Linked DNA regions of Mus musculus. The protein of the gene in region 2 interacts with the protein of the main gene of each other region in a biochemical or structural test. Links are inferred from orthologs where the notes say so. Each region holds a gene or a part of one and is shown on either strand. Other genes may lie near its edges.

Region 1 (4,335 bases), on a different chromosome or scaffold from region 2:
CTGGCGCTGTGCCTAGCAGAGGGTTTGGCTGCTGGGGATGGCAGCAGGCACCTGGGCATAGCCTTCTCTCTCTACTCACCTGGTAAAGGTTGTTCTGAATGTCCAGGACTTCCTGGGGCAGGAAAGCCAAGCAACAGAATAGCACCGACGGGGCTTCGTGAATCACTGCCAGGTGGAGCAGCCTGGAGCAGGAGAGGGCTAGGGTCAGAGCCCAGGTCAGAGGTGATAAGCTGGTGTCTTGGGGTTAGAAATGAATGCATCGACCTCTTAACTAGCTACCCACAACCAAGCAGGTGCAGGAAGTGAGAGTTTGGGCCAGGAAGTGAGGGGTTGATACAGGAAGCCAGGATTCTGGAGATGGGAGCTCCAAGCTCGGATGGCTGGACCCGTGGAGAGCCTTGGCTGGGGGTGGAACCTGTGGGCAGGGTGCTGACAGGACAAGGGCCTTCCTGTCCACCGTGCCCACACCCAGCTCCCTTCTGCCCCCAGGGCCCTGCCAGGCCAGCTGCAGCTCAAAGCTAAACCGAAAGCTGCCGGAGAAACACAGAGGGGGTTTCCAGGGCTGAGCTACCCACCTCCCCACAACAGGGAGGACAGGAGGAGGCCGATGTGGGGTTCCCCCAGCGACTCAATGTCACACACTCCAAGGAGCCAGCATGGCATTTGGAACTGCTGCCTTACCCACTAGTCAAGCGGGCCATTCCACACAAGCCATCATATGGGGTCTGGTCACAAACCCTCTCCTAGGTACAGCTCCAAGGGGGAGTTTGGTGCAGTGCAGAAAATGGGTTTGATGGGGCGGGGGTGGGGGGGCGTGATGGGAGTTGTAAGTTAGGGCCAACAGGGCAGTTGGGATGGGAAGTTCCAGTCTTGGGGTTTCCCCACATCAGGTGGGGAAAATGAAAGCCAGGGTTAAATGGTCTAGACCTGGACAGCTGCCTTGGGGGCAACTTGGCTAAAGGCCTGTCTGGGCTAGGGAGGGGGATACTTAGGCAGGAGGGGGGGGGCAAACTTTTGCTGTAGGCAGGCAGTAGAGGAGGCCAGGAGAGAGTGACGGAGGGAGGGAGGAACCACTGTGGAAATCCCCTCGGCCAGGGCCTGCTCTCTGGGTCACATTCCTGCAGCCACCTCCCTCTCTCCCTCAGTCTCCCCTCCTCCTGCCCACTTCCTTTTCCCACTTCCATACTTCCCACAGTCCAGCCACCTCCAAAGGAGGGAAGATGTCTGCTGGGGGCTGGGGGGGAGGGGGCTGATGCTTCTCCAGACACACTGGATCTGTCTCTAAGCAGAGTGTGTCAAGGCTGCATGCAGCACAGGGGCTAACCGTGGAGGGCGCGGTGGCCCGAGAAGCTGTGCACAGAGCTCCCAGAACTCTGAGGTCCTGGCCTAAGGGTTGTGACTGGCGCCTGAAATACAAAAGGCCTCTCTCCTGCTCACAGGATGGAGACTATCTTTGCTAGTACCCAACCAAGACCCCTACATCTCCAACAAGCAGGTCAGGACAGGTACCCCCTGCATCCCAGCGTCTCTCTCATCTAGCTAGCACTCCAGCTGCCCCTGCTCTAACACCCACAAAGCCCAGTCACCTCTTCTGCACTTGACACCTACACACTTGATAGCCTCACAGTCCAGCTGCACCTGATTCCAGCTGGACCTAAGGGAGAAAAGGGAGATCAAGAGATGGGACAGCAAGAAGAATTTGGGGAGCTCAGGAGGTAACTGTTGGGGAGGCTGAGGCCAAGCCATTACTTCCCTTTTCTCAGCAGAGGAGGAAGTGAGCTGGGGCAGCCAGCTGCCTATCCTGTTTGTTGGGGGCAAAAATTCTCAGTCTAGTCCCTCTTTTGGAACCACTTTCAAATGGGCATCCAGGTAGCACCGTTAATCCAGGCTTCCTGAGCTCAGATGACAACCTGTAATCCTGGTGTAGTCTTTTTTCCCCCCTCTGGTTAGGGTGTTCTGAAGTTAGGCATTGGTATCCCAAATATTGAGCAAACAGGGACATTCCTTCCCCCAACAAGAAAAACAAAAACTGAATTGGTTGCGGGGGAATTCCTCTTCCCAGGAGTGGGTCACTAGTAGATTTTCAAGACTGTGGCTGGTGTTCTAGGTTACAAGGGCACTGCTATCCTGTCCACTCCCAAAAGAGGTGATGATGTCTGGTTTTTGGTCTGAACCTGGCTACAGCTTAAAAGCAAGTTGCAAGTTAAGTTTGGAGTTTGGAGAAGGAGGCTGGCCCTTCCAGGGCAGGTGCTGTGAGGGTCTATCCTCTCGGGTGATGAAGTGGTGGTGGTAGCCCAGCCAGTTGCAGCTCGGAGGGGGGCTCTAACTGAACATCTTATCTCAGCCTAGCCAGTTTACTCACGTGTCTCCATCCTCAGAGATGTATGTGAGCGCCTCGAGTTGCTGAGGGCTCAGCACCCCCGCGGGGGGCAGCGGCGATCCTGGGGCGGGAGGGCTTGGATCCTTGGCTTCGGGTCTCTCCAGTAAGGGGAAGGATTCAGTGAGAGAGGAGGAGGCATAAGTGGAGTCCGCTCGCTCTCCATCCGCATCTTCTTTCTCTGGTTCCTTGTGGGTCTCCGGAGCATGTCTCCAAGGCTGTGGGCAGCCGCTTTGGGATGATCCGGAGCCTGGGGCCGCAGTAGGTTCAGGCAGGGAGCGTAGAGAGCGCAGCGACTCTATGCCAGAGTCACACTGGCTATCATCCGCCTCGTCCGGCCCCTTCCGCGCATCCGACATGCCGGCCGCGCCAGCCCGGGGTCCAGGGTCCAGCGGGATCTAACTCTGAGGTGTGCAAAAGCGAGCTTTTCCGGGTTTGTGTGACCGCCTAACAGAACCAGAGTCACTCTCCGAGCGGCTTCATTACCTGCCTGTGCAGGCGCGGGGAGCGGATGAGAAAAGCGAGAGGTCCAGGGCGCCGGCCAGGTCCACCGCAGCGGGTGCTTTGGGCAGCTGAACGGTCCCTAGTTAGGTCTTCTCTGTCGCCCCGCCCCCGGACCCAAGAAGTGGCCCGCAGCCACTGCCACGCCCACAGCCCCGCCCTCAAAGGAGCTTCCGGGTAGAGCCCCGCCCCTCCGGAATCCCCCTGTTTGCTGCTTGCGTAGGCAGGGAGTCTCTGGTTACCAGTCTTGACTCACTCCTGCGTGGATTGTTTCGCCCATTCATTCATTCACTCATTCTTCCCCTTCCCTTTTATTTCATTCACTAATTCCGTGCATTTGTTTGTTCCTTCTTTTTAGTTCCGTGGTGTCTTCATTCATTTATTCATTCAATTGTTTAAAAAGTGTATTTTTAAAAAACTTTTCTGCATAAACCGGCTACTTTGTGGGGAGTTTGTGTAGGTTGGTGGTGGTGGTGGGGTGTCTTAGCGTTTCTATTGCTGCAATGAAATACCCTGACCAAAAAGCAAATTGGGGAGAGAAGGTTTTATTCGGCTTATACTTCAAGATCATAATCCATTATCAAAGGAAGTCAGGACAAAACTGAAACAGGACATGATCCTGGAGGGAGAAGCTGATGCAGAGGCCATGGGGAGCGTCTTGCACACTGGCTTGCTCCCCATGGCTTGCTCAGCCTGCTTTCTTATAGAACCCAGGAATACCAGCCCAGGGATGGCATCATGCACAATGGGATGGGGTGGGCCTTCCCCATCAGTCACTAATTAAGAAAGAGGCTTACAGCTGGATCTTATGGAGGCATTTTAACCGAGGTTCCCTCTTTTCAGATGACGCTGGCTCCCATCAAGTTGCCTGACTAGCCAGCACAGATGGGGAAGGGGTGGTGATGGTGGCTCTGCTTGCTATCCTCTGCCTATTTTTTTCTCAACTTCTCTTGCCTTTTCACTTATTTTCAATCAGTGCTCAGGGGGATTGGTAAGAGAGAGTGCATCTATTATCTTCAGGGGAGCAGCTTTTCCCTGGGAAACCTTCATAGACAGTTCTGGGTCAACTCCCCTGATGATAGACTTGGCAGGAGGATGTGATCTGGGGAAGTGGGTTTTCTAGGGAGGACTTATCTCACAAGCCTTGGTGGTCATGGGGTTTCTTCTTCCTTGCAGGGTGTGCACTGGCCTTTGGTAGGTACAGGAGATGGCTGCCCCCAGCAGTCAAAGAAGTTTAGTTCCTCACAGTGGAGCCAGGGTGGGGAGGCCCCTGACACTACTGAAGTTTCCACCCTAGCCCTGAAGTCTTTCCCCTCCCTTCTTGCTTTTCTTCAACATGACTAGGGTTTGAGAGAACACCACCCACAGGCGATCCCTGAGATGGAGCATCTTGCTGCTCTTTTCTTGGGGCTAGCAATGCCCTTAGAAGACCATTGCCAACCATAGGAACAGCTTCA
Region 2 (3,859 bases):
TAGAAATGGAAGTATTCTTTTATATTCTATATTCTTTCCTGCCTGGCTCCACTTGGTCTTACTGGTTTTGCAGTGTATATTGTTGGAAAATATAACCATAGTTTGTTCTTTATTGCTGAGTATTTGTTCATTGTATGACTATACTACAACTTGTTTCTATTAACAGAAATTTATTTGTAAACTGTCAGGAGCACCTAGCCATTCATTGTTTTTGTCTGTCTGTCTTTCTGTCTGTCTGTTTTGTTTTAATATTGATTACTCACTTTGAAATGAAGACACTGAAACCTTGAGCTCTTAAATTTATATTGCTATTAAATGAGACTTTCAGTAGTCCTGCACTCTTACTGCCTGTCCTGGTCCCAGCAACTGTGCTACTGTGATACAGGTGCTGCCCTCTTAGCATTTTGAACCTCATATTTTCCCCTTGAACATGGTATGAGGGTGCGTACCTAGGTATGGAGGCAAAAGGACTGCCTCAGATGTTTGCCTCCAACATTTTCTGCCTCCCTTTTTTGAACTGGGGTTCTCATCTGCGGGCTTAGATGGCGACCAGTACCCTGCTTCTGCCTTCCTGGCACTGAGAATATTATCAGGAGCCTGACTACTACTGCACCTGGCTTCATTGCATGGGTTGGAGGGTTGAGCTCATACTTGCAAGGAAAGTACTTTACCGACTGAATCATCTCTCTCAGCCCCATTTTGACCTTTCTAGTTGTACAAGTATGTTTTCATAGACTCAAATGTTAGGCTTAAGAATGCTGATACTGGAATAAATTTCAGTGTTAGCATAACTCCTGAGACTATTTGACTGGCTTTGTGTGAGATATGTTTTTTTAAATAAGTTATCACCTGTAAGACTGGGGAATTTAGCTAATTATTTTTCATATTTAATCTTTTAATTTTAATACTAGTGTCCTTTCCAAGTAAATTTTTCATGTAATTTAATGAATTTTATGTTTTTAAAATATGGCATATATTAGTAACAATTTATTGCTATAGGCTTAAAATATTTCAAAACGCAGCAATATTTTGTTTTAGAAATGGGCTTCTTTTCAAATATCAATGCAAAGAGACTATTGTACTATATTCTGTGGCAAGTTTTTGTATTTTTTTTTCAGAACTGTAAAAATGCCCTGGTGTGCAGTTTGTTTTTAAGCTGACTTGACTTACACATAAAGTTATATCATCTGATATCTTTTTCACATTGCATCTCTAAAATGCTGGTGCAATATGTTAATAAGTTAATATGACCCTCTGCTTCAAATTTCCATGCTATTATTTAGCTGTAAAATTTATTATTTAGACAAATAATGTCATCTCCTTAAAATCAATGTCTTACCTATAAGAACAGGGATGATGGTGATTTTTGCTAGATTTAGAACGTAATTACAGACTGGGCCAAGTGTTATGTTAAATGAAGTATGCATGTTTCCCATTGTCTATAACTTGTATCCATATTTAAGATTTTTGATTTTGGTGGTCAGTTTATGATTCTGCCCTTAAGTTCCTAGTCCCTGGTATAGTCTCTCTCTGAGCATGGCTACAGTCTGTTATATACTGTTAAATAGTAACTGTACAATAATGAAAACTGTTCTTGAGATTGAACCCCATCTTAGTTTTCTGCAGACGTAGGTGCGGGTTAAGGTTATTGGATGTTGTGGGCAGAGAGAAAGACAGCAGGATTTTGGTAATAATAAAGTATTAGTATTATGTGTTCTACATTCTAAATCTGAGATTGTACTGTTCAGTCCCTGAACAGCAGCTGCTGGACATTGAAGACTGCGACCTCAATGTGGTGAGGCTGTGTTTTCAAGTTTTCCTTCCTGATGAACATGGTAACTTCACAACTGCTCTGCCTCCCATTGTTTCTAACCCAATTTATGACAACCGTAAGTGCTTTAATTTTCTTATGTCTGTACTTTTAGCTTGTTTCATTTCCTTAACTGCTGAAAAGTTTAAAGGATTTTTGCAATTTGAAAAGGAGTATGTTAGGTGGGATTGGTGGTTTGTGCATATAATTCTAGCAACCAGAAGGCTGAGGCAGGAGGATAAAGTTTGAAGGCATAATGGACTACACATTGAGACCTTGTCTCAAGAAACAAGAAGAAGCCAGGGGTGGCGGTGCATGTCTTTAATCCCAGTACTCAGAGATAGAGATAGGCAGATCCCTGTGGGTTCAAGGCCATCCTTGTCTACCCTGTGATTTCCAGGATTACATAAAAAGATCCTGTCTCAGACAAAAAACAAACAAATAAACAAAGCACTGTTCATTATAGAAAAAAAAACCCTCAAGCATATATACATATATAAGAAAGAAGAGCAAATCACCATTAGTCTCCTCCTAAATGGCCACTGTCCTCAAGCATACACTGTAGTCCCTTTGAATAAGCACAGACACCACCATCTTCCTCATCAACCCCATTCACCCACTAAGTTTGGCAACTTAAAAAAAAAGATCAATGATATTTTAAAAAAAAACAACTTTTTTTCAAGCCAGTAGTGGTAGTGCATGCCTATAATAATAGCACTTGGGAAGTCCAAGCAGGCAGATCAGGAGTTAAGTTTTCCTTTACCATGTTTAAAAATGGGAATTCAAGACCCTACTGTGTCACATGGGATCCTTCCTCAATAGATAGAGACAGAAAATCCCAGAACTTTTCTCTTTGCAATGTATCTTGAACCTTTTTCAATCACTTTTTCTTTTCTTTTTTCTTTTTAAACACTGCTGGCATTTAACCAGGACATTGTACAGAGCTATACCCCAAACCCCACTTAGGTTTCCAGTAGCTGAATATTTATCTCCTTCCTTCCTTCCTTCCTTCCTTCCTTCCTTCCTTCCTTCCTTCCTTCCTTCTTCCTTCCTTCTTCTTCCTTTCTTTGTGTTGCTTTATACTTTTTTCTTTTTCTTTTTTCTCAAGAAAGGGTTTCTCTGTGTATCAGTCCTGGTTGTCCTAAACTCACTGTAGATCAGGCTGGCCTTGAACCACAGAGATCCACCTGCCTCTACTTTTGCCTCTGCCTCCCAAGTGCTGGTATTAAAGGCCAGTGTCACCTTGTTCAGAAGCATATTTTTTTATATGTCTATATATTAATTTTAAGAAATCATTAATATGGAGTATAAAAAATAAAAAAGATGACTTTTAAGAATCATATTTAAGAATATATTTGGTTTGTTTCCTTTTGTAAGCAAATTATACCAAAGTAGATATATTTATGTGTGCATTTAAAGACAACTCTCTATGGATCATGTATCTGCCTGTTTATATGTGTGTGGTCAGAAGACAACTTACAGGACTTGGCTGTGCTCTTTCATCATGTGTTTCCCTGAGATCAAACTCAAGTTGTCAGGCTTTGCTGCCTTAACTATGTCACTGGCTCCTGAATGTTTATCTCTTATGCAAATATTTCTGACATTTATTTTTAAAAGAATAACTTTTGACAGATACCTACATCAAAGGATATAGAAGTTTATTTGAAAAGATTTTAAAACTTTCCTCCAAAATATTTTGTGTATATACACACACATTCACCAGTAGTATATGCCACACCTGATTTGCATGTAGAATACTGGACCATAGGAGTATAGAGGTAGATTATTCTTAACAGAGAGCCTTGGGTACCTTTAAGAACTATCATAATAATATTCGGAAGATAAATGAGAACTGCATTGCCCTAGGGATATAGCCAGTGATATAAAATGACTCATTTATTCACAGTGTGCCTTTACCAAGAAACAGGAGGAAGAGGCAAGAACTGCTCAAGTTAAAAGGCCAACTAGCCTGGTGTACATAGCCATAAGTAACAAAGAGACTGTCTCAAAAGAGGTAGGAGTTGAGGGCTAGCAAGCACCTGAAGTTGT

The links.
Region 1: the proteins of Rel (region 2) and Nfkbie form a complex in vitro, tested with the Homo sapiens proteins (2 studies listed by BioGRID). The link is inferred for Mus musculus from reciprocal best matches to the Homo sapiens genes REL and NFKBIE.

Annotation. Positions count from the first base shown.
Region 1 is NC_000083.6:45,554,342-45,558,676, reverse strand, and holds the start of Nfkbie (NF-kappa-B inhibitor epsilon), read right to left. Parts: upstream 2,978-4,335; 5' UTR 2,737-2,977; coding exon 2,363-2,736; intron 183-2,362; coding exon 80-182; intron 1-79. UniProt on the Homo sapiens protein: Sequesters NF-kappa-B transcription factor complexes in the cytoplasm, thereby inhibiting their activity. Sequestered complexes include NFKB1-RELA (p50-p65) and NFKB1-REL (p50-c-Rel) complexes.
Region 2 is NC_000077.6:23,746,781-23,750,639, reverse strand, and holds part of Rel (proto-oncogene c-Rel), read left to right. Parts: intron 1-1,748; coding exon 1,749-1,889; intron 1,890-3,859. UniProt on the Homo sapiens protein: Proto-oncogene that may play a role in differentiation and lymphopoiesis.